7 linked regions of the Danio rerio genome follow. The protein of the gene in region 4 interacts with the protein of the main gene of each other region in a pairwise test. Links are inferred from orthologs where the notes say so. Each region holds a gene or a part of one and is shown on either strand. Other genes may lie near its edges. The genes, in order: crmp1, ostf1, hoxc4a, htt, gapdh, trafd1 and tcerg1a.

Region 1 (3,500 bases), about 29 Mb from region 4:
AGAAGTGCTGTATGCACAATGTCCACTGCCCACAACCTGCAGATCCCCACTGCAAAAACAACATTTAGGTCACAGTTTTTATTTTTTGCAATCCTGCAGTATTTATTATAAACCATTTATTTGTGAACGTCCATAGTTTGTGAAACATCATGTGTTATCTTGCTATCTCTGAACACAGTTGGCTGAGTGAGTGATTAGTGATGAGAGAGCAGGACAACTTGTCACTATGAGATCCACCAATAGCAAGCCATTATATTTTTTCTAGTTCGAAATGCTGTTTTATTCAGAAATATATCATATCGTATCATACTATATTATATATCATATCATAGCATATATCATATCATATATCATATCATAAGATGTCATGTATCATCCTATCATAGTTTATGACATGTTAGCCACAACTGCTATTTGCAATGCAAAAACATTTAATTAAAAATATACAATTAAAAACCACAAACAAATGAATACATAACTGAATACATAAGTTGGAATACATAAATTTAACATTACTAATATATGTTAAATCTTCTGAAAAAATATTTCTGGTCACGCTTTGCTGAGTATAATGAGTTCATTTCTTTAAAAAAAAAAAAAAAAAAACTTGGATTTAGAAATAAATAACAAAGAAAAAAATATTCTAACACGCTTCATTAATACAAGGGTATTTATGGGGTCTTCCAGAGCTAGATGATTTTTTGTTTGTGACCTATTTTTTATATTTGAGGCTGCATAACATGTCATGGTCATGGAAATATACATTATGTTTAGAGACATTTTTTAGACTGCATTTATTTGATCATAAATACTGTAAAATTAATATTGTAAAACACTATTAAAATTTCTTTATTTTACTATATTTTTAGATGAAATGTATTCATGTGAACAAGCTCTCTGATGAATGGTTTGAAAAGGATAATTTCATTTAAATGTGAATCTTTCACAACATAAAAGGTCTACTGTCACCTTATGTTCTTGCCGAATTATTAGTATAATTATTATAAGGCTTTATTGAATTATTAAGTTTAATTAAATTATAAATATTAATATATTATTATGAATACATTACATTAAGTACTTTTTCATCAAATAAAATGTAATCATAATTGCACTGCTAACAATTTATTGCAATCCTAGATTGATTAAATATTGGATGAATATTACAAAAATGACAACGAACATCTCATCTATCCTTTGATTTACCAGCTTTGCTATTATTTTGGAGACAGAACATACAGTGCTTAGCATATATGAGTACACCCCTCACAAATCTATCTTTTAAATTCATATTTTAATAGGAGACTATACAATATTATATTTGGGCATATACATTAGATTAGTCAGTACTGAAGCCAAATCAGCAGCTTATCTAACATTATAATAACTTATAATAATGGTTCAAATGTGATAGAAAATATTAAATACAAATTTACAAAAGAGGAAAAATTAAGAGAAGCAAATTTTTTTTTTAATTTAGTTGAAATTGTGTAGTTTGTCATTTATTTTTGCAATATTTTGCCTAAATTTAATTGTATTATCTTCCCATTTTTAAATAAGTTTGGCGGCTAAATATTATGTTAATAAATTTATCTGTTTAACAAATCTGTTTTGTTCAAATGCACCAAAATACATTGCCTATATTTACTGAGAAATGGAGAAAAATGTTCATTTTCAAAATGGGCTGTACTCAATTATGCTGAGCACTGTATTTATTTTTAAGATATTTCCACCAACGACAGATACAATAGATGTATTTACTGAGCAATCTGAATCGAGTTACAGTCATGTAGGCTAACCATTAAATTACCAATCTTTTAAAATAATTTCAATTTATCAGCTTAAACAATTTAACTTACTAAAATATAAGACATAATATGCAACAATTTGGTTAATAATACCATTTTAATGATAAAATAAAGAAAAAATCATCCAGAAATGAAATTTTCTTTGCAACAGTGCACATCTACACAATATAATTCAAGTTGACTTGTTTAGCACTTTTCACAGTAATACAGCACAACTAAAGTTTGTCTTCACAGTATACATATGTTTAACAATAAATGAACATTCTTTTCTAGAAATATTCAGGCATTTTCACTAATCTTTGGGCTCCGCTAATCTGTCTATGCTAAAAATAAATGTCCTCTCTCCAGCTGTGTCAGTCTGCCTCTGTGTGGCTGTGGATGTCAGCATAATGACATTTCTCCCATAGTAGCAGCCTGCAAGTCCACAAGTTATGTGTGTGTGTGTGTGTGTGTGTGTGTGTGTGTGTGTGTGTGTGGTGGGGAGCGAGAAGGAGGGTGCTGTGTAACCATGGTAACAAGCGATGAAAGCCTGTTCTATTTTTAGAAACGGGGGCAGGAAAAGGTGTGCCTGTGGTTTTGGTTTGGGTGTTGCATTGAAGTAATCGAGAGAGTAGATAGAAAATTGCTGAATGATGTCAGTCGTGGCCTTCATCCAAAGGATCCGGTGTTATGCTGCATCTATCACAATGATTGAAATAAGTCCAAATGTTCTTACCAGGCCAGCAGAGAGTGAAGATGCTCTGGTGTGGTCGGGTCAGGGCTGAGGGGTGGAGAGGTCACATACGCTGCCGCTTTTGCCCAGTTTTTGCTCCAATAGTGAGATCCGTCTGTTGCCAAGCTGGCTGTGATTGGCTCACCGAAAACAACAGAGCCTAAAGCCGGTGCAGTGAAGAGAATACATCCAAAACTTAACGGTTGGGGTGTGTAAGTCTTTTAAAATAGAGTTTTGCTAGATACTGCAATTGTCTAGTAAGATGTCACATTGATTTAACTTAAATGAGTGTGAACAGAATAGACTGATTCTACAGAAGCAGACTGTAGGTCAGAGAAAACATCATTGTTACAATTCATTAACTACAGATATTAATTAATTATATCAAGAAATTAATTATATATATATAATATATATATATATAATTATACATATATATATGTATTATTATGTATTATACACCGAATATATATTATATTATCTAAAAATTCTTAAATCAAGAAGCATTTTCTACATAAGGGCAAATTACTTTCTTATTAAAAAAAAAGAAATGTGTCAAAATTAAAGGTGCCTAAATGCTAACCGGTTAGCATAATGTTTGAAACCCATTCCCTCCCCTGCCATTCCAGCCACACCTCCTGGAATCACGAACATGCTCATCAAAGATGACAGAGGCCCACTAGATCATGTCATTCACCAGTTAGAAAACTTTATAGTCCTTTATAATACTACAATTCTGAACAAAACTGTATTATATCTAGCACATTTTCAGTTGTGTAGCAAGCAAAACTTGTCAATGTGCAATATTTCATGCATGCAAGGATCACTCACTCTCTCACGCGCTGTCCTGAAGCAACTACTGAATGCTTATTGTTTGGCCGGCGGTGTACAGGACTTCTTACTAAGCCATACTTACATGCTATTTCAGAGCGAATATTTAGAGTAGCATGGTAAACACTATTTGGAGCTATATATAAGGC
Region 2 (3,500 bases), on a different chromosome or scaffold from region 4:
ATCTGAATTGCCCCCGCTCTTCAGAAATTTTATCCTGCACATGCCCCTTAGATAGTCTCTGCACAGGGCTGGATGTCTGTACCGGCGAGTACAACGTGACGTCACATTAGTTTGATAGTTACAGTTTACACACAGCTTTCTGACGATATGTTACCGAGTACATTTAAGTTACCGGGAAATGCAGATTATTTTTTTCTTCTCTCATTTGACGTGTGGTATCAAACATTCCATCAAAGCTACACTCTTCCAGCAGTTCTTACTCGCATCCCATATCACGTTTGTTACGAAGGGCATGCATGAAATGTTCCTGAATGAAAGTGAAAGTGCCAAACTGCAGTTAAAGTCAACAAATTAATTATTTGGCAAATAATTTGACTACTGATGTCCATGTAAACTCAGTCACTGTCTTTCTCTCCTGCGTCTGTGTGTTTGTTTTGCCTCTGTGAAAATCCGCACGTGCCCAAACAGAAACTCCCATTTTTATGCAAAATCTTAACCTCTTTCCCTCCCCCAACACTCCCACCTAAACAGAGCTGGACACACCAACTTTCCTGACTTTTTCCAAACTAGAGGCATGAAAACATCCTGCTGAGACAGGGATTTCATGGCACTTTAAAGAGATTATGGTGTTGTTTGATACCCAATATGCTTTTAATTGTTTAAATTAAACTTAACTGGATGATATTACTGATGCTTACCCCAGCATCCAATACTTCCAGGTTTCTTCCCACTGCAGCCTTGCTTTTTCTTTGTAAAATGGCGGCCGCATGAAATAAGCGTACAAATGGCTGTCTTTAGCACAAATGTGGTTTTGTTTACAATTTCTGGTTCATTCTAGGCAGTATGAAAGCGAACCGCATCAAATAATGAAAAAATAAACTAATTCAAAATTTGGTCATGACCAAAGCAAGTGAACTAACAAACTTTCCTGGAGTGAATAGACCCTAAATTAACTTTTTATTTTTCAGGTGAATTATCCCTTACATTTCCCAAAAGTCATCTCATTCACTAAAGCATTACGTTTAAAGGGTTGATGGTTAGCAGGATCTACTGTAATCAACATTTCATGTGGATCAAAAAAGTTTTTCAAAAGTCTCCTAAGGTCAGAATGGATGTTGTTAAATAGTTTTAAGACGACTTTGATGTAAAGGTTTTGATCCACTTTAAAAGTTGACTACTGTAGTTTGCTTTTCTTACCGTAATTGCTAGGAATAAGACCAGTCCTTCCCCGGCATGTCCCTTTCCACCAGTTACTGTCACTCTAAACAAAATAAACCCAGCAGTCAATACAAATTCACAAACACTGCTACAAATTCTGATGAATATAATGCTGTTTATCTCCATCATGACAAGAGGAAGTAACAGTACTTCATAACTTCATGAAGTATCAGATCATAAACTTACCGTATCTGAGATATACAGAATATCACCTTCCTCAAAGTACAGTTCATCCGGCTGAAAAAGAGGAAAACAAATCACAAATCAGACGAACTGAAACAAACAATGTTCAATCAAGCAGAAAAAAAGATGAACTCACCGTCCTTGGGTCAAAGGTGAATAAAGCCCGGTACACCTTGACCTGACCTGTTTAAAACACAGATAAATAACAGATCATGACTGATGATTAAAGCAATTAATTCACATTTCAGGCCCAGTGACCTGTGTTTTGGTCATAAAAGACGAAATAATCTACCTGTTAAGGCATGGTTCATACACATTTTTACTACCAAAATTCCATGACATTTCCAACACTTTAAAGTAAATTTAATTTATTCATTTAGTATTTTAGTCGTTCATTCTTTAGGATTAGTCCCTGATTTATCAGGGTTCGCCACAGCAGAATAAAGCCCCATCTACTTGGTTTAAATTAACATTTATGTCTATGTAAAATTTATTTAGATATTGCTTACACAGCACTGATAATGTAAGACCATGGAATTGGCCAATGACAAAGACTAGCCTATATTCAAATAAACAGATATTTGTTAAACAAATTTCCACAACTTTTCCAAATCTTCATGGGTTTTATTGTTTTTCCAAAACTTTTCCAGGCCTGAAAAATGTCATGTCAAAATTCCATGACTTTTCGTGGTTTTCCATGACCGTTTGAAACCTGTAAAGGGATAGTTCACCCAAAAACTAATGTATTTTAATTATGCTGGAAAAAAACCCATTCCATATTAGGAAAAACATATACAGTGCTCTACATAAGTGAGTACACCCCATTAGGGAAGCAACGATTAACTGGTTTCACTATTAACCGTACTTTAATTAGTCACGGTTAATTAATCATAAAGGCATTTCTGCACAGAACAAAACTGCTGCCACTAAAATTTATGCCAGCTGTGCACGAGTGTAAAGTTATAAGCTTGTACACAATACCCACACACACTGGATTAAATGCTGAAGGGCCGTTCACATATCCAGTGTTTTGTGCGCACAAGTTCGTTATTACCAATAGAGGCACGCAACACACACACTTTCCAGGCACTCCTAGTTGAAAGAATGCCACGTGCACACCGTGAGTCAAGTGACAAGATCTGACCAGTCAGCTTCATATTTTGTATGGAATACAGGGTTGTCTCGATACTGCAATTCGATATCAATCGGTACAAAAAGTTTAAAAGCGTCTATGTCCCGCAAACATTTGGGCGTGTGGATCTTAAACAGCGCTGATTTGCCATTGTGTTCACATGCTCAACAGAAATGACTGTGATTGGCCGTGAAGGTCATTGTTTCACCAAACTCACCGCTGTTTACTGAGTGTAACCAAAGAGCTTAGAATGACCAAGAAGCGACACTTAATAGAACATTCCATTGCAACAGCAGTACCCAGCAGCAGCCCTGTGATTGCACCATTTTGGAGTGAAAGCGATCGGTTGTCCATTGTATCTCATTGCTGTCACAATGGCAAGCAGCTGCTTTGTTTTTTGTTTATTTATTTATTTATTTATTTATGTATTTATTTAAAAAGCACATTAAAGCTGAGATTCAGCCTGAAATACGACAATAAAACACTTACTATCACAATCATCAGCACTTTTAATAGTTTATTTTACAGACATGTAATATGCTGCTGTTCTATTGGAATTTTCATTCCAAAATGGCCACCGCTGGACACAAATGGACACTAGTGGCACCTAGTGGCTGTTTCCCAAACAACAACAGTGTCGCCACTTGGTGATTCTATGCTCTTTGGTGTAACCACAGATACCGGCACACTGGATTTTAAAGGCGTGATTCTTTAGCGGATCGCTCATATGTTAGCTTATAGACAAACCAGCTGATTTACGTGACTTTAAAACGCTTCAATGTTTGATTGGTATCGAATTCCAGTATCAAGACAACCCTAATGGAATGTAGGCTTGGGCGGTATCCAAACTCTGATACCGTCAAACCTCCTCCCTATTTTACCTCGGTATCCGGTATTACCCTGCATATTTTTAAAAATTATGAAGGCTCAGACAGCGTCACCAAACTGTTGGCTTGTGCCTAAACCA
Region 3 (3,691 bases), on a different chromosome or scaffold from region 4:
TTAAAATGAGCCTTTTGAATACTGGAATGGGTCGTCAGAAACATTTTAGCCATGTTGAGAGAAGTAAATAATAGCAAGAAATCTCTACAATAGAAAGCGGTAAGGTCCCTAAACGAAAAGGCCAGAACTGGGTGCCACATTAATCGAATACGTAGTAATGTGATGGGTAGTACACAACCCAAGCTAGTCTAACCCATACACAAACCAAACATGAGGCTGCGTTGCATGTATTAGAAATGCTATGGCAGAAATTAAATGGCTAATTAGTTTTCTGCAATAAAGCATGCAGCACACACACTCGACACAACTGGCGTAGATTATTTAAAACATCACATTGTTTTTACATTTGGGCCTACATTTGTCTATTTAAAAAGATATACATTAACCGGAAAGTATCTGCATCATCTTTTAACAATTACAGAGAAAAAAGTGATCGCCAATTATTCGCGGAAGTGTAATCTTTAAGCATATTAATAAAAGTCACCCAAGTCTAGGTTAAACTAATAGACACTTACGTTTTATTGACCAATATAATTAGCACAAATACACTAAACTGGTTTTATTGCATCTCACAACAATCTGCTGTTAATAGCCTAAACACAACGCCATCACAACAAAAACTAAATGATAATTTAAAAATCTTAACCTTTCCATACGACAGATAACCCACAGCATGATTTACTTTTAAATAAAACCAACAACAACAAAAAAAAAAACCTTTAAGATCTTTTTTCTATCGATACTCACGATAGCATTTTTCATTTACAGTGCAAAAAAGAAAAACGTACCAGCTCTCTCAAGTGAGAAATAAATAGATTCGTTGTGCACTTCACCTTGGCAGCTGGGCAAAAAGGCCCACGAATAACATTTGAATAAAATGTCCATAACCTGCTTCGCCCTAAACATTTCTCTTGAAAAAACATATAACAAAAACAAACATCATATTGATTCAGTTTTAGATAAATTAAACCCTGTGTCGCGTAAAAAATAATCCATAGGTATTCGCAATAATCCATGCTATATAACATGCATTTTATATAACTGTGGACTTAAAGGAACCCCCTTTACGCACAAGATACCTACGAAAACAAAATATATTATATTTTATAAATAATCAGTCATTTGATCTTGCTTTCTCTCCTCGAAATAGTTCTCTTATAACCTTGTAATATCCTCGCCACGCTCGGTTCCGGAGAGGTCCTCGGATGCTGACATGGTGTTAGTGGTGGAAGCTGCCGCCACAACGCCAGCCGCTGAGCTTGTGTTGGACCCGGAGGAAATGCCCGTGGAGGACGAGGATCTGACTTTGGTGTTTGGCAGCCTATGGTCTTTTTTCCACTTCATCCTTCGGTTCTGAAACCAAATTTTGATTTGCCTCTCCGAGAGGACCAAGGAATGAGCAATCTCGATACGTCTTCGCCGTGTTAAGTAGCGATTATAGTGGAATTCCTTCTCCAATTCTAAGACTTGCTGGCGAGTGTAAGCAGTTCTAGACCGCTTGGGTTCCGCTCCATTGTAACTAGAGTTGACTGGAAAGAGGAGAAGCAAAGGGAAAGAAAGAAAGAACAGAATAGAATAGAAAAAGAAAAGAAGCAGCGAGGGAAGGATAGGGTAAACAAGCGTGTCTTTCATTGAGAAATGGTGGCGACAGAGGAAATGAGGGTGGGCTAAAACATCTAAAAGTTAGCTTTCTGTAATAAGGCTAAAATCACATTGGACTCAGCACTGAATTATTAATGCAACATTATAAAGCTTAGTTTTTCTCTGGTCCCAGATCTCCCTCACTCTCTCGCACACTCATAACAAGAGAAGCCACATGGTGATACGACTGCCCAGAGTATACCTCGGCTATAAAATTTATGGTGGGTGTAATTACCAATGCCTAGTCGTAAATCCGCCTCAATTGTGCCATTTCAAAGGCTTCTATCCTATCGTAGCAGAGGCTGGCCAGGGGATGAGTGTAAAAAGGAGTGAGGCAGACGGAGAGAGAGAGTTAGGATGAGGGGCGAGCTTTATAGTGCTTAAGAGAAATACACTCAAGTTGCCTACCGGTGCTGACGTGAATTTTCTTCATCCATGGGTACACTACGGGTTGTTTGGCAGAGGCTGAGCTGTTGGGATGCTCCGGGGTGGCTTGATTGCAGGCGGAAGATGCAGCCGAAGGGGTGGCAGGAGACAGGGGTAACGGTGGGGGCTCACATGAGGCTGATTGCCCTTTTCCAAGCAGGTGCCCCGCGTGAGGCAGTCCATGTCCTCTTTGAGTATCAGGCTCAGGGATGCTTGCACAGTTATACTGACGCTCCTGGTAGCTTGCCCGCGGAGGGTATAACTCCTGGTGGTGATGCTGGTAGCCACTGTCCCTTGCACGGCTGTAATATTCTGGGCTATGTTCGGGAATGTAGCTATTTTGCGAATATTCCTCGCAAGGAGGAAATTTCGGATCGATGTAGTTAGAGTCCATCAAATACGAGCTCATGATCATTAATTTCTGGAGTGGAAAATAATTTTTCTAGCTTTGTCGTTTTTCTGCTCCATAAAGCCCTCCTACTAGCGAGCAACCCTGTAAAGTTACTTTTACCACGTGATTCGATGGCCCAATGGCATGGGGCGATGTAGTTCCCGGATAAGGAACCACAGCTTTCGCAAATATACCTTCAATTTTCCGCCATTGTCCGCGGAGTCTCCCAGTCTGTCTATTCCTCTCTCTCTCTTTCTCACTCTCTCTCTTTTTCTCTCTCCCTCGCTCTCCCCCTTTTCACTTTCCCACTACCGCATACACAATGGAGAAATCTTCTCGGATCAAGCCAAAGCATCCAGGGATATTTCTTAGTTAACTTACCTGTAAGAGTTTAACTATTTATACAATTTAATAAATAAATTTATTTATATAATATAAACGACAATAATATTAAAAAAGCAATCATTCTTAAACTTATAGGACGAATCGAAGGTATTAAAATCTACTGCCAATAATTACACTACATTATCCAATGCTTTTATAATACTATATCGTGTAGGCAAATATCTGCAGTACTATCAGTATTCGCTTCTATGCAAGGGAACAGCAAATTTCCAAATTCAGTGACTCATTTTGCATGATCTCCATTTCTTATTTTTATTTATTTTTAGAACATAGAAAATCTGCATTACTTTTCATTGATACAGTTTATAATTACGATAAATACGACTATACATGATAAATGCATGTGGTGGTAGATACGTTGTTTAATTAAGCTACAAAAGCTTAAGAATAATCTTTAAAAATGGGTGACATACAGCATATTATGAATTTTACGTCCTGTCTAATTTTGGCTTAGTATTTTCATTAATTTCTTGAGCAATTCTGCTCATTTAAACTTTTCTATTTATTATGGTAAGCACCACACACGACTTTCATGCAAAGTCACGTGCCTCAGACGGACGAATACAAACCCAACTTGGCGTTCGTGGCTTTTACGTCGCCCATGTATTCCTGTAGAGACGTATTTGCGATTTTGATGTTTTGGACACAAATTCGGTTCTACAGGGTACATATAGACGACTACTGACAGGCCCTTCTTTTACTGGAAAATTTAAAAAACGGAATACAACGAAATTAAGGTTATGTCCGGTTAGCATGTGACCTTTATCTTAAACATTGCTAAATAATATTATTGGGAATATTTCTGTCTGGCATTTCAAATAGTTGGTC
Region 4 (3,500 bases):
CAAATTACACATTTGATCAGTTCCCTGGGAATCAAACTGTGACTAGTTGAGCTACAAGAAGTCAGTGTAGCCAAAGTTAATGCTTAAACAATATAAATGTTTGGTGAATAAATAAATAATTATTGTATTCAGGCAGTTGTCACGGAAATATTCTTTAATTATAACTCGATAAAAAATTCAACTATAAATTGGAATAAATGTGACAATAAATATGACAAAAAAACTCCACTAGAATTACTAAAACTTTAAAAGTAAAATGAAAACAAAATAAAAATTCAACTATTAATAAAAGCTAAAATAGTCGCTGGATGATACTGAAATTGTACTTCTTACTACAGGTGTTTCAGACGCTTCATGCCACTGGTCAGTCCTCCATGGTCCGGGATTGGGTCCTGCTCTCACTGTCCAATTTCACACAGAGAACGCCTGTCGCCATGGCCATGTGGAGCCTGTCCTGTTTCTTTGTCAGTGCCTCGACCAGCCAGTGGATCTCTGCCCTGTATCCTTAAACAAATTATCTTTTGATTGCTGTAATTGATGCACCCCTTAGTGTGTAAATCTGTTTTGAAATTACATTACAACATTGTTTTTTAAACAAAGGTTTACTGAAGATATTGTCTTTATATGAATTCAGTTGTAAACTAAATTCTTGACCTATTACAGCTAATGCTGTAAAGCAGGGGTGTCAAACTCAGTTCCAAAAGGGCTGAAGCCCTGCACAGTTTAGTTCCAACCCTGCTCCAACACACTTACCTGTAGGTTTCAAACAAGCCTGAAGGACTCAATTAGTTTTATCAGGTGTGTTTAATTAGGGTTGGAACTAAACTGTGCAGAGCTGCAGCCCTTTAGGAACTGAGTTTGACACCTGTGCTGTAAAGTATAGATGAAGCTGCACTATTATTTTTTACATTAATATAATGATAAAGGGAATTAATAACAAAGGCCATATTAATCAATTATTTACTTTTATATTTGAATAAAATAAACACTCTGCAAACTGTTTTATGCTAACAGGTAAATTGCTCAAAAGGCAGTTTTTACATTTAAATCTAATTATAAAATAGAAGTTGTACTTTTTTTTTTACACATTATTCCATATGTCTTCAAAGTTATACATCTAATAACTATGGCATCAATAACAGTAATAAAGCCTTATTAACAAATAGGCTAATAGAGTTAAAAAAAATTTGAGAGATGTGCATTTTTTTACTCTATAATTAGTAGTGAGGAAGTAATGATTGACTTGCATTCTGCTGCCATTTGTAAATCGGGCATCAATATAGCGATCTGACATGCCACATCAAAGCATGTCAAAACAGTATTTATTGTTTGATTGTCCCTAATAAATTTGACAGAATTGAAAAGATTCTAAAGTAAAGCATCAAAATTAACAAAACAAGGCTTTTTGCACTTTTAGGACAGGAGGTGTGTCCTAGGGTGCTTTCACACCTAGACTTTAGTTTCAGAACCTGGTGCGTTTCCCCAGTTAGCATAATTCGTTTGGCATATTTGAACCCAGTAATAGCGCTCGGATCCTCGCCAAAACAATCGCCTGAATGGGGTGGTTTTGGCTCGATTGAAACGAACTCTGGAGAGGATCAATTGTAGTGAGAAAGCAATACGATCCAACGGACTAATAAACCAGGAAATATCTCAGTGTATTATGGTTATGTAATAAGCATATACGGCTATATGAAGAGAGCATTATGAGTAGGGCAGGATGTCATCATTTATACCAGTTTATGTGCGTTTCATGTCAATTATGAAAGTGAAAGCATGCTGAACTATTAATGAGAGCAGTTTATCCATTAGAAAAATTAACTCAACTGCAGTCTTGGTTTATCTGTTATTTCTCTCTAGAATATAAAGCCTGTAATGCATAATTTTAGCCAACGGCTATGTATTAGAAAATCTACATTTATATTTGGTGTATGTTTGTGGGTGTCACCGTTCCAAATTAAACCGCAGCTTTTTGCTTATAATGTCTTATTGTTTATTGTCACAGATTAAATAAGGACGCATGACAGCTAAGTGAGAGAGTTTACTTGCACGTGACTTGCTATTTTGGTCCTTTTAGAAACTTTGCAGAGTGAAAGCGAACCATACCATGAACAAAGTGCAACATTGTAACAATTTTATTCTCTGTTTCGGAACAAAACCGTCAATCTACAGGTGTGAAATAGCATTAAACATGCATATGATACCCAAAAAGCCTGCACCAAAAATGTATGAATTAATCTACTGTTACACCCCTACCTTGCACTGGTAACAGCACACTTCATGCTTTTCCATTTCCTCTTCCTCCACGTTTTCCTTAACTTGTTTCTTCCGCTGTAGCCTGCCTCATGTCATCAGCCGCATGGGGAAATCTGACACGGTGGACATTAGCCTCTTTTGCTTGGTCGCTATGGACTTCTACCGACATCAGATCGATGAGGAGTTAGACCGCAGGGCCTTCCAGTCTGTCTTTGAGATGGTGGCTTCCCCTGGTAGTCCGTATTACCAACTACTGTGCTGTTTGCAGAGCATTCACCAAGACACGTCTCTATAGAACAGACCAAAAAAAAAAAAAAAGATCAGTAGGATCACCATGGCAAATTAAGCATCAAAATGAAGGTAATATAACACCCAAGCAGAAGACATACACTCACCAGGATGCATGACAGACTTTGGATTGGATTTACAGAGTGGAATCGGTTGCTATGATACTCTCCGAGATTGCTCCAAATAGTTCATAGTTATTAGAGACAGTGGGACCAATCCAAGCAAAACTGCACTTTCACTAGTCTGTGGCCACAACGCACCAATGAACATCATTTATCTGTAATTAAAAATATAAGAAAAGCAGCACTACATTCAGAATATTCAACTGCTATCACAGTATGTGCACCTGGCCACTGAAGCGTTTTTCCTGAGCTGAGTTAAGTACAGGATAGGCATGCAATGAGTGTATGTTTTACGCTCATTGTTTTTCAAAACTTTCAACAGTCAGAGAAGCGATGGGCGTTTTTAGAACATCGCTCGTGTTTCTGCAGCACAAAAACGCTTCTGTGGACATGCGTCCCAAGTCATTCACACAGTCTATATGGATGTTTTAAGTGTATAAATTCTCTTCATGTGGTAGCAGAGAATGTTAAACTGTGGCTAAACTGCAGAGTCTCCATCTTTAGAAATGTAATGCAGTGAATTTTCAGCTGTAACCAATCTGATTAAAGAAGATATTGACATTTCTTAAAAACATCATACAGACGCTAGTTAAAAGTGTCCTGCGCTTTTGGACTTCCGCAGATACAGCATTAGATACTTTAGTCCTCAGAAATAGAGTAACTCCATGTTACTTGTCATCCGATTTCGCTAAGATCAGTACAACAGCCATTTCTGCCCTACTGTCTACACTTCCAGGACCCTCAGTTTGAAGTCATTCCTTTTGCATGGGCGACACATTGCTTTGCTCTGCGTTTGCTGACACTTGAAGTGAAAAAGGATTGTAAATTGAATTT
Region 5 (4,076 bases), on a different chromosome or scaffold from region 4:
ACCCTTAATGTGAGCCTACCAGGAGAGCAAAATTTCAGTTACAGAAAAACAATTGTTGTTGCAGGCAGCTTATGTAACATCCATGATTACGTACAGAAGCCTTCTCAATAGTAGTGAAGACACCAGTAGACTCCACAACATAAGTAGCACCTGCATCACCCCACTTAATGTTGGCTGGGTCCCTCCTGTTTAGGCAGAGATCATGAGCATAGCCCAATGCTTGCAAAAATAATAATAATAATAATAATAATAATAATAATAATAATAATAAAAACCATGCATAGTTTGGAGGAACCGCACTCACTCGCTATAGACTGTGATTGCATGACCATCAATGACCAGTTTGCCGCCTTCTGCCTTAACCTCACCCTTGTACTTTCCATGGGTGGAGTCGTACTGGAACATGTAAACCTGTGAAGAAACAAGCACTATAAATATATTCAAAATAACCCCAAAACTAGTTAAATAAAAAAAAAAAAAATTAAGGAACTTGCCATGTAATCAAGGTCAATGAATGGGTCATTGATGGCCACGATCTCCACTTTCTTGGTCAAGAAAGCAGCACGGGTCACCAGACGGCCAATGCGACCGAATCTGAAAAAAAAGCTCATTCATAAACACTTGCTTTCATCTCACATTAAGAAAGAAAAAAGAAAAAAAAAAGAAAACAACCGCAGTCAGGCAACTTATCCACTAGATGGCAGAAAGGACCCATTTCTGAACATGCACAAAGTCAAACATTGTGCCCTTGTGAGCGCAGTAACTCTGGGTCAATTGGAGAGTGGGAGCAGACAGCAGTTAAATAAATTAATTTTAAAAAATAATAATAAATAATAATAATAAATAATAATAAGTAATTAATAGTATTATTATTATTATTATTATTATTATTAATAATAATAATAATAATAATAATAATAATAATAAACCAAAAATATAAATAAACTCTGGGGAAAGTCAACTATGTGCTACAGGAGATTAAGAGCTAGATCATGAAGAATGGGCTTTTGGATGAATGATCTCCACAAATATTTGCCCCAGCTTCATAGAGGCATGTCCTCCAGGCAAGGATACAAATTCCATAGGCCTCCAGCTGCCATTGTGAGCTATTTTAGTACATCCAACAACACTGCACAAAATGCAGAGAAAGAAGGACTGACCCCACAAGGAGTTCCAGAATTCCCTTTTTGTTTATTGCAACACTCAGCTGTACATTCAATCAATAGGTCAAAGAAAGCAGCCTATTGATACTGCGATAATGATCACAGTACATACTTTCATGCACTGATAAGACACTGATATGGTAGTGGTACACTTTCAAAACATTTGCATCAAGTCTGTAAAGATAGAGAAACAGGGCAAAGGTAAAAATTTCCAGTGCTCTTAGCAAATGTGGATTGACCATTTGTCCAGTGCCATTAGTGTTCAAATCATAAAGTCAAGTGACATTGTAACAGGCTTTAGAAAGGGATTTTGTATTTAAAGTTATTAATTTGATAAACTGAAGACCATGTCAAATTACTTGCATAATTGAAGTTTCATATAACTTTAGATTGTATAAACCCATGGCAAAAATGCAAAGTAGGCCTATTATAAATTTCTTGCTTGTAAAATGAACCAAGGCTACTTAAGGACACCACTGGGGTGAACTTGGGGTCATAACCTTTTGAGTGCCTAAAGACAGACTTCCATCTAAAGGTGGATATTTTAAGTCGCAAAAGACTTGTGCTGTAATTTAGGGTGCCTAAACTTCACAGCACAGTCCTGGATGAGCATTAAAGTTTCAGGTTGTGTGCACATGAACGATATGCATGTGTCCTGTACTGGTCTCTTCAGGATCAAGTTTCCTGTTACACAACCCAATAAGCTTTGAAAAGGTCACAGCTGGTGCTGGGGGTTTTTCAATGCAGAACACACAAGCTTGGATTCTTGAACCCAGAGTCCTGTACAACATGGTCTAAGTAAAATGCAGACTCGAAGCAAACTTTGAACCTGGAGTAAAATACAAGGCAAAGAAGCCAAGTACACAGATAAAAATTACCATTATTTGTCGTCATGATGACGTCAATGTACACAGCGATGGCACAACACCAATAAAGCAGTTTGACTGGCTGGCTTAGGTGACACCCCCTCCAACCATTCATTACAATCAATTAGAAAGTCAAAACTTAATACAACTTCCAGAAAGCATTTAACAGCAAAACACTAACAAACAAGCTTATAATAAAATAAAACTGATGTCCTGTTGTTCAAAACAATTAATAATAAAAGTTGCAAGCAGCCTAATGTTCATTTCTTTCATATTTGAATCAAATGGAGTACATACCCGTTAATACCAACTTTAACCATTATGCCTGATTTGGTTGTGTCCTCTGGAAGGAAAACAAAAGGTTGTAATTAATTCACACGTTATTATAGGCGTCTTTCGTTATGGGAACAAAGTACAGGTTGTGAAACTGCAACACCTCTAACTACAGATAGAGAGTGAACAAAAAGTTCATACACATTTGTAGTTCACAGTAGCCTGTTGTATTCATACTCAAGCATTTCCCAATTGGCCAGAAAATGTAGGCTAGAAGTTCTAAAGAGCATGAACTCTCAGCTTTCATTAGAAATGTTGCTCCATGCCATTAACATGCACATATATTTAAAAGTTGCTAACATTTGCAAAGGCTTCACCAGCGCAATCTGAGCAAAGACTACATAATTAAACACTAAATAATTCAAGCATTTGAAACATGAAATAACTAAATTTACCGTTTGTGAGAAGCCTCTGTTCGTCCTGACACTTGGTGTGAGTGGACTGATTACGAACACGAGGATAATTTATATCTGGTGCGATAGCATTGACCACGCCCCCTGGACTTTAGGCTATAAGTACCACGCCCCCTGGACTTTAGGCTATAAGTACCACGCCCCCTTAGAATGTCAAGGTCGTACTGGGGTACAGTGAATGAAACTACTACATCTACTGAATAATAATAATAATAATAATAATAATAATAATAATAATAATAATAATAATAATAATAATAATAATAATGATGATGATGATGATGATGATGGCATATATGACTGATGATGATGATAACCAAGCTTTGCTAGAGTATTAAATATTATATAACTAGTGACATATCAAAGTTTCCCTTTGTACTTTTTATGAAAGAAGCAATGACTATGATCGAGAATTATGCTTTCTCAAATGGCCATGATTCTGTAAGCACTTCAGTAATATGTAGTGCATTATGAGAAATAAATGGTTTGCAGGTTATGTATAAGGAAACCAGGCAGAAGTAATTTAGGCTTGTAACCCTATGCAATTTGTACACTGGCTAAAATAAATAAATTATTAAATAAATGTATTTAGTATGTATTATATGTATATTTGAGATGGTCTGTCCACTCTGACCTTCTAAAACTAGCCCAGACCGTGCATATGAAGCAGGAGATCAAATCGCCCTCATCATGAGTGTGTGACATTTACAGGAAAGACCATGACCCTTCCCTTTTACTCAGGCATTCCTGCATCCCACGATCCTTTGCATCAGTAGGAAATCCAATGCCTTTGTACCTACACAGATTCTTTGAGCCTTCACATGTGCATATCTGTGCAAGTAAATCAAATGCAAAACCAAAGTGGTTGTAGCATAACATAAACATTATCAAAAGTGACAAGAGTTTAGAGAGTGACAGTGTGCATTAATAGCTCTATCAAATTTGATTAATTACACTACAAATTTGCATACTGACTTTATGGTTTTATGAATTTGCATATTGAGTTTTGATTAATCACATTATAATCTTTCTGTTATCCATCATTCATGTTGGTTTTAATTATGTTAAATGCAGCTAACTTTTATCCCTTTGTCTGTAATTAATCACAGGTTTGTACTAGTAATTAACACAGACACTATTAGATCTTGCACAGAGGACAGACTGAAAAAAGATCCATGTATTATAGCGATTAGCTGTCAGTGCAATGTTATAAAGTAGCTCTCCACTTTTGTTGCAAACATGACTTGTAACAATGCAGTCTTTCTTTGTTTTGACTTATTTTTACTCAGTGTTGGTTTGTA
Region 6 (3,500 bases), on a different chromosome or scaffold from region 4:
GTTGCAGCGGTTGGGGATGGATATACCGGCGTTTGTAATGGTCTGACGGAGTTCGGCGACTGTCATTTTATTTGAGATGAGGGATGAGGATCTTGCAGATGCGTATGATGAAGATGGAGAAGGTAAGTTGCGGTTTGGGGTTATGGGGGATGGAGACTGTGTACGGCGATGGGTCCTTGAAACTGTAGAGCGGATGGGTCTTCTGCCTCTTATGGGAGCTTCGGTGTTTGTTTGGTTTCCGGTTGGGGCTTGTTGTCCTTGTGCTGGTGTTCCTAGGGGAGCGGGTGTATCGTCTCTTTCCATGATGTTGTTGTTTAGTTGATGATGGCGTGTCCGTTGAATTTTTTGAGTTTTGTTGTTGCTGTCGTTGTTGATTTGTAGTAGGTTGGTCTAGGTTGAAGTTAATGTCGCAGGCGATGGTATGGTAGATGAAGATTTGAGGATTTGAAGAGGAGCTGTGTCCGTCCTTCTGTGCTTCTTCGGAAAACGAAGATAGGGGTGTACATTTTAGCTAGGTTATTTATAGTGGGTTTGGATCGTTCGGATTGGCTAGCTAATGAGCTTAGATGAGTGGCCGGCTGCAGTCAATCATATCACGTGCTCCTCTCGAAATTAGTTTATGAAACTTCATATAATATTCTGGTGTAGGTTTGAAACGCATTCAAAACCTATTGTTTATTGTAGGGATAAACTGCTATTGCATTTTGCCTACACAATATTCAGAATATTAGCTTTCAAATTATTCACTTTCTCACAACGTACAGTATTTACACCACCTGAGCGGCATTAAACAGTTTCTGTAAAGAGTCTGTGGAGTGACTATGACTAAAGTCCCTTTAAGGCAAGGTATTTCACTCGGCAGCCATCTTTGAAACTCTTCTCGAGCAGTATGCTTGTGCATTCTGTCTGAATGGAGAAACATCAAATTCTCCAAAACTGCTTGCCAAGCTTACCATTGAATTTCATATTAGAAATCACCAATAAAATTAAACAACATCCGTCTCTTTAGTTTCATTTCTAAACGTCTAATCACATAAAATCTGCAGAAATTCACGTCTGGTCCAAACCCCTCCCCCGGAATATCTTCAGTCTATAGTGATCGATGATTGGCTCCTGTACAAGAAGGTGGGTTTTATCCGTCATATAGCGATCGATAATTGGCTACTGTACTAGAAGGTGGACTTTATTCACTATAGTGACTATTACACTTTACCCTATTCAAAAAGATGTGAGTGACATGGCTTGTGTGTTCTATAGTCTTTGCTGTAACGTAGGAGATAAAAATGGATACTTTTTGTTTTGATTATTTTGTGAATGAAGTTTTTAAACAAATGCTGGTTCTCGCCACTTTCTTCCCACAATGAGTGTGAGTTTTAACCATTGTTATAGTAGCAGCATCCCACGCATTTCCAGAGTAAACGCCGGCAAAGAAACTTCACACAGTGGAGCATAGAAACCAAACTGCCAACTAAATTTCAGAAGTGTTATTGCAATGTAACGCTGACAGAAAGCAGAAGTATAAATGCTCACAATGACATTGACTAAGTGCAGGGGATGCGCCCTGGGTACAGGGATAGCTTGTCGATGATGGATAATTTGTGCTTTGGAGAGATCTTCTGGAGCATGCGACTCAACTCCTTGCTTAAGCTCTTGTTCTGTCCAGACTGGATTATTGTAATGCACTCCTGGCAGTCCTTTTAGTCATTATTGTCAACTGATTTAAAATGTGGCAGCAAGAGTGGAAGTTAAAGAAAAGACTGCAGGTCATAGCTCTGTTCATCAGTTTGCACTAGTTGCCAACTGGCACTCATAAACGTCACATTAAGCCATTGACGTTTGCTTATAATACAACAACTGGCTGTGATACCTTTTAACTAAATTCACTACTTCAGACCTCTGTCTACTGCAGAAGCTTCTATTCTGCTCATGAGGTGCCAGCCAAAGAGCCATAAAATCACTTTTACCTTAACTGTTCTCTGCTGGTGGAATGACCAGCCTAACTTGACCCAAGCAGCTGGATCTCGCAATTTTCACATTATTTTCTAATTCCGTTCATTCATTCAAATTTTGTGTTAAAATGCTGTGCTTGACTAACTGAGACTTGTCACAGCAACTACATATTGTTGGTCTTAATGCTTCTATTTTCCTCATTTGTAAGTTGCTCTGGATAAAAAAAAAGTCTGCAAAGCAGTTAAAGCAGATGTATGGCTTTTTTGTAGGAAAATTAAGGCTGCTCTGTGGCATCCTAAAATTCTTTATACAGGCACAATGCAGCATAAAAAGCAAGGCATTTGCTTTGACCCACCTTAGTACCTAGTATAACAGCATGCAATTATGTTTAATAGCATTTCCGCAACCCATGGCTGTATAAAAGACATCAGGTTGTGAGTTCAGAAGTTGTTCTGTGGCAACTTTGCTATGAAAAACTGATATGGCAGAAATAAGCATACACAATTAAAGCTATAGATTAAGATAGAGTCTAGTATATGCAGATAACCAATATATCATGAATTTTACTCTAAATGTTGTTTCTAAATAATTAATAAAACAAGATGAATAATACATACAATAAGCAAATTCATTGTTCCTCGTTTCTGTGTTTCTCCTGGTTCCTCCTCTCACTGTTCCTCTGGTACTGTTATGCAGTCTGTCCTCAATGGGTCGTGGTGGGCCTCTGCGGTCTGCTGCCCCGGTGTTGTTGTTATTATGGCTCCTTTCCTGGGCCCTCAATAGGTTATGGATGGAATGTGTCTCAAACCATGCTCCAGGAGACTGGGGCCCTGCCCTACTACTGTGCCTCTCCTCAGGTGGAGTCAGACTTCCGCACAGGGCTGGATGGATGTGTTGTTCTCTCAGCATAACATTGCACTTGCAGACGGGACAGGGCTCGGTGCGGGTCCCGCAGTACTCCTCATGCTCTTTAGCTTGAAAGGAGGCCAGCTCTAGATCACAGAACTGACATGGGACCAGTCGATGACTGCATTCTGACCTCTGAGAGGAACAAGAAGTTGTTAAATCTACAGAAGTCATTAATGAAAACATAAGAATAGCTGTTCATAATGCACAATGGTACCTGGTGGGTCTCCAAGAACCTTTTTTCTATTTTTAATCCACATTTGCACTGTTCCTGTAAAAAGAGAGGATAAGATTGGTAATTAGCAACCTATAATAAAGGAAAACGTTTTAAATATGGTTAACAATATTAATATCATGCTATTTGAAACAAGTCATAAAGTACTTGTCAAAATTAGAAACCTTAAAGGGATAGTTCACTCAAATTATGCAATCATTTACTGGGTTTACTTGTTTTAAACCTTTATTTTTTATTCTTGTTATAAATATAATAAATATAATAAAATTATAAATAATAAAGCTGGAAACCTGTAGCCATTGAATTCTGTAGTATATTTTTGTCCAAAATAAAATAGAAGTCAATAGATACAGGTTTTCAGTTTTTTAAAATATCTTATTTTGTGTTTAACAGAAGAAGGAAACTCATT
Region 7 (3,500 bases), on a different chromosome or scaffold from region 4:
TTGTGTGATTAGTCCATATATTGGCCATTATAAATGGTTGTCAGGATATGAGCTGAGTTATGTGGTCATATGTGATTTCTGTCATTAAAGTGTGTGTGTGTGTGTGTGTGTGTGTGTTCAGCATGTCCCAGCAGGCCGCTCTGCGTTTCCCCCCGGCTGTCGCTCCTCCTGCTGCTCCGCCCGCCCGCCGCCAGCCTCTGCTGAGCAGCCCAGTGCCGCCCTACACCCTGATGAGGAGTCCTCCGCCTGCTGCACGCCCGCCCTTCACACGCCTGCCCTTTGACCCCAGCGTGCCCCCGCCCATGGGCACACCGCCGCTGCAGGTGCATTCACAGGTACAGCACGCTTGCTCACACTTGAGGCAGAGTAAATAGTGAGTAAATGTGTTGTTTGTGAGAAATATTCCTTTAATCTGTGATTCGGGATGGGAAGTGAGGTTCTGACTGACACTGTGGCTCTTCTGCTCCTGAAGAGACCCCCATTCATGCCTCCGCCCGGAGGATCCATGCCTCCTCCACCCGGCATGATCTTCCCTCCAGGAATTCCTCCGTCAGTGGCTCCTGCTCCAACTCCTGCTCCGGCTCTGGCTCCTGCTCCCGCTCCCACTCCTTTGGTCTCCACTGAGGAGATCTGGGTGGAGAACAAGAGTCCGGAAGGAAAGGTATGGCTGTGGGTCTGCTTCATTAAAGGCCCTGTCAATTTCTAGAGTACTCAGCTGACTCTGTTTTACTAGAACTTCTATGTTAAGCTGTTTTGACACTATCTACATTGTAAAAGCCCTATAGTAATAAAGATGAATGGCAAAGTTTAAATATGTGTGTTTTTTTAGGAAGATGTTATTAGTCTTTATTATATAGTATTAGTCTGTTAGTCTTCAGGATATCTATGTGGCAAACAGTGGCAAAATTCACATGTAGATGATACAAGCATCCACGTCTCTTTCACCTAAATGGATATATATATATATATAATTTATTTTTATATATATATTAGTTTCTAATAGAATCTGACCAATCAAATGCTCTCCAGTGTCTGCCATGCCCCGCCCCCTCTCACCTGCTGTTCATTTGATGCACTTGAGCACTATGAAAGTGTCAGTAACCCCCTGCTGGTGTGTATTATTCTTACAGGTGTATTATTATAACGCACGCACCCGAGAGTCATCCTGGACCAAGCCGGAGGGGGTGAAGGTGATCCAGCAGGCAGATCTGTGTCCGCTGATGATGAGCCAGGCGGCTGTGGCGGCGGCGGGTGGAGGATCCACAGCTCCGTCCGTCAGCATCCCAGCAGCATCAGCAGTCAGCGGCTCCACAAACACACTCGCGGCCCCCAGCGCCGGCCCCGCCGTGGTCCCCAGCATCACTGCAGCATCCCCTCTGCTGCCCACACCTGCCACAGGTCACCTTCTGATGAACATATCATGCTGTAATATAATAAACATACATGCGTAATGATATTAACAAATCACCCAACACTCCTTGATTTGTTTACTCGTATACTTTATATAGATTTATATGAAGTAATAAAACTGAATGTATTAAATCCATTTTAAAATGTGGTTGATATTATTAGCCCCCTTAAGAAACAGTTCTTTCTGACTATACTGTTGTCCAATGACTTTGCTAATTACCCTAGTGAAGCTTTTACATGTCACTTTAAGCTGAATGCTAGTGTCTTGAAGAATATCTTGTCTAATATTATGTGCTGTCATCATGGCAAGCACTAATGACATTAAATTATTAAAACTATTATCAAAGATTGTCCACTGAACAGGACTGTGAGTTTGTCTCTGTACCGCAGCATCACAGCAGTGTTTATTGTAGGTGTGCTGTGTTGAGTGTGTGTTCTTGTGTTTGCGTCTGCAGTTCCAGATGTGGTGGAGATGCCGTCAGTCGTGACCTCTGCCCCCAGTTCCATGCCAACCCCAATGCCAGCTGTCAATCAACCAACGGTCTCGGTCGCCATGACAACAGGACCACCCACTCTGCCTGTGGCGCTGTCCCACACCGTCCCGCAGCCGGCCACTACAATCCCAGGATTCCCTCCGGTGATGGTGCCGCCGTTCCGGGTGCCGCTGCCTGCCATGCCCATCCCACTGCCTGGTGCGTCTGACCTCGGACCGCTGCTGCTCTCTCTCTCTCTCCTGTCTGTCTCTCTGTCTTCTCTCACCATCTAAACTCATCTGTAGATTAACATGAGAGAGAAGCAGCCTCTGTCTTCATTTACTCTGTGATCAGTTGAGTCTTAAAGGGACAGTTCACCCAAACACGTCATTTCTGCTGTAGTTTATTTACTCTTTACTGATTTTAATCTGCGATACAACAAACATCATATCATAATAATGATGCATATCATCATACAGTACCAGTTCTGTAAATAATATAATAGTTATTTTCTTTATTATTGTTTTATTAAATTATATTCATTTACATATTAGTGCTGGGCACAGATTAATCGCAGTTAATCACATCCAAAAACACAGTTTGTTTTGACAGAGAAAAAAATATTTAACAAAGAAAAAACAATTCAAAGGAGGCGAATAATTCAGATTTCAGTGGTATATTGACCACATGTAAAGGACTATTTTATTTTTTATTTGTGTTTTAAAGTACTCAGAAAACTTCTCATTCATATGTGATCATATTTCTCACTTAATTCAGAACTTAATTTAATATTTATATTAAATATATGTATATTTACTATTAATCTAAAACACTTTTTTTTTTAAATGAATGATTACAGGTCCAGCATAAAAACAAAAATCTGTCTGAATAAAATGCAAACTCTCAAGACTGCAGCTTTCTCATGATGCAGTTATTTGTATATCGCACTCACGTAAATTATGACCTATTACTGTAAACAGTGTATATATGACGTAAATGATAGATAGCCCACGATGTTAATCAATAGAGCTTTTCTGCACATATCAGCATATTGCTCAGGCCCAATTCACACCTTTAAGTATTTCATCTGTTAAGCACAAAACAAGATAGTAAGAAAATGTGGTGCACCGGTAATCATTGACCTCCATAGTATTTGTTTTTCTACTATGGAAGTGAATGGTTTCAGCATTCTTCAGAATATCTTCTTTAGTGCTGAACAGAATACAGGAACTCATGAAGGTTTATGAGCACTTGAGGGAGAGTAAATGTTTGTGTGAACTGCCCCTTTACCTGCTGTGTTAGTGAGGCCTGTAGATGGCAGTGTTTTCATGCGGAGTGTTTCCAGGATCTCCTGGAGCTGTAGATGACGTATGTTTGTGTGTTTTCCAACACTCTGCTTGCTTATACGCTCTTCCAGGTGTAGCAATGATGCAGATAGTCAGCTGCCCCTATGTAAAGACTATCTCTCCTACCAAAAACGGTAATTCCCTCCCCGTTATGGCATGTTAGTAACTGTTGTGCATCTTTTCATTTATCTACAATTCATTCAGTCAGATCACCCACCTGCTATTGAAGATTGTAGTGAGCAACAGCTTGTTTTTAAAGTAATGATATATA

The links.
Region 1: the proteins of htt (region 4) and crmp1 interact in binary tests that used the Homo sapiens proteins (3 or more experiments, as listed by UniProt). The link is inferred for Danio rerio from reciprocal best matches to the Homo sapiens genes HTT and CRMP1.
Region 2: the proteins of htt (region 4) and ostf1 interact in binary tests that used the Homo sapiens proteins (3 or more experiments, as listed by UniProt). The link is inferred for Danio rerio from reciprocal best matches to the Homo sapiens genes HTT and OSTF1.
Region 3: the proteins of htt (region 4) and hoxc4a interact in binary tests that used the Homo sapiens proteins (3 or more experiments, as listed by UniProt). The link is inferred for Danio rerio from reciprocal best matches to the Homo sapiens genes HTT and HOXC4.
Region 5: the proteins of htt (region 4) and gapdh interact in binary tests that used the Homo sapiens proteins (3 or more experiments, as listed by UniProt). The link is inferred for Danio rerio from reciprocal best matches to the Homo sapiens genes HTT and GAPDH.
Region 6: the proteins of htt (region 4) and trafd1 interact in binary tests that used the Homo sapiens proteins (3 or more experiments, as listed by UniProt). The link is inferred for Danio rerio from reciprocal best matches to the Homo sapiens genes HTT and TRAFD1.
Region 7: the proteins of htt (region 4) and tcerg1a interact in binary tests that used the Homo sapiens proteins (3 or more experiments, as listed by UniProt). The link is inferred for Danio rerio from reciprocal best matches to the Homo sapiens genes HTT and TCERG1.

What each region holds. Positions count from the first base shown.
Region 1 is NC_133176.1:15,740,466-15,743,965, reverse strand, and holds part of crmp1 (dihydropyrimidinase-related protein 1), read right to left. Parts: intron 2,681-3,500; coding exon 2,524-2,680; intron 50-2,523; coding exon 1-49.
Region 2 is NC_133180.1:7,429,989-7,433,488, forward strand, and holds part of ostf1 (osteoclast-stimulating factor 1), read right to left. Parts: intron 1,585-3,500; coding exon 1,538-1,584; intron 1,456-1,537; coding exon 1,405-1,455; intron 1,262-1,404; coding exon 1,198-1,261; intron 1-1,197.
Region 3 is NC_133198.1:39,234,219-39,237,909, reverse strand, and holds hoxc4a (homeobox protein Hox-C4a), read right to left. Parts: upstream 2,491-3,691; 5' UTR 2,483-2,490; coding exon 2,050-2,482; intron 1,530-2,049; coding exon 1,156-1,529; 3' UTR 501-1,155; downstream 1-500. UniProt on the Homo sapiens protein: Sequence-specific transcription factor which is part of a developmental regulatory system that provides cells with specific positional identities on the anterior-posterior axis.
Region 4 is NC_133176.1:44,384,649-44,388,148, reverse strand, and holds part of htt (huntingtin), read left to right. Parts: intron 1-338; coding exon 339-499; intron 500-2,256; exon of another isoform or gene 2,257-2,337; coding exon 2,338-2,551; 3' UTR 2,552-3,500.
Region 5 is NC_133191.1:17,266,832-17,270,907, forward strand, and holds the start of gapdh (glyceraldehyde-3-phosphate dehydrogenase), read right to left. Parts: upstream 2,801-4,076; 5' UTR 2,758-2,800; intron 2,373-2,757; 5' UTR 2,350-2,372; coding exon 2,327-2,349; intron 595-2,326; coding exon 495-594; intron 412-494; coding exon 305-411; intron 186-304; coding exon 95-185; intron 16-94; coding exon 1-15. UniProt on the Homo sapiens protein: Has both glyceraldehyde-3-phosphate dehydrogenase and nitrosylase activities, thereby playing a role in glycolysis and nuclear functions, respectively.
Region 6 is NC_133180.1:29,388,727-29,392,226, reverse strand, and holds part of trafd1 (TRAF-type zinc finger domain-containing protein 1), read right to left. Parts: intron 3,128-3,500; coding exon 3,074-3,127; intron 2,992-3,073; coding exon 2,568-2,991; exon of another isoform or gene 627-2,567; intron 1-626. UniProt on the Homo sapiens protein: Negative feedback regulator that controls excessive innate immune responses. Regulates both Toll-like receptor 4 (TLR4) and DDX58/RIG1-like helicases (RLH) pathways.
Region 7 is NC_133189.1:58,551,654-58,555,153, forward strand, and holds part of tcerg1a (transcription elongation regulator 1a), read left to right. Parts: intron 1-121; coding exon 122-335; intron 336-472; coding exon 473-661; intron 662-1,130; coding exon 1,131-1,398; intron 1,399-1,865; coding exon 1,866-2,102; intron 2,103-3,500. UniProt on the Homo sapiens protein: Transcription factor that binds RNA polymerase II and inhibits the elongation of transcripts from target promoters. Regulates transcription elongation in a TATA box-dependent manner.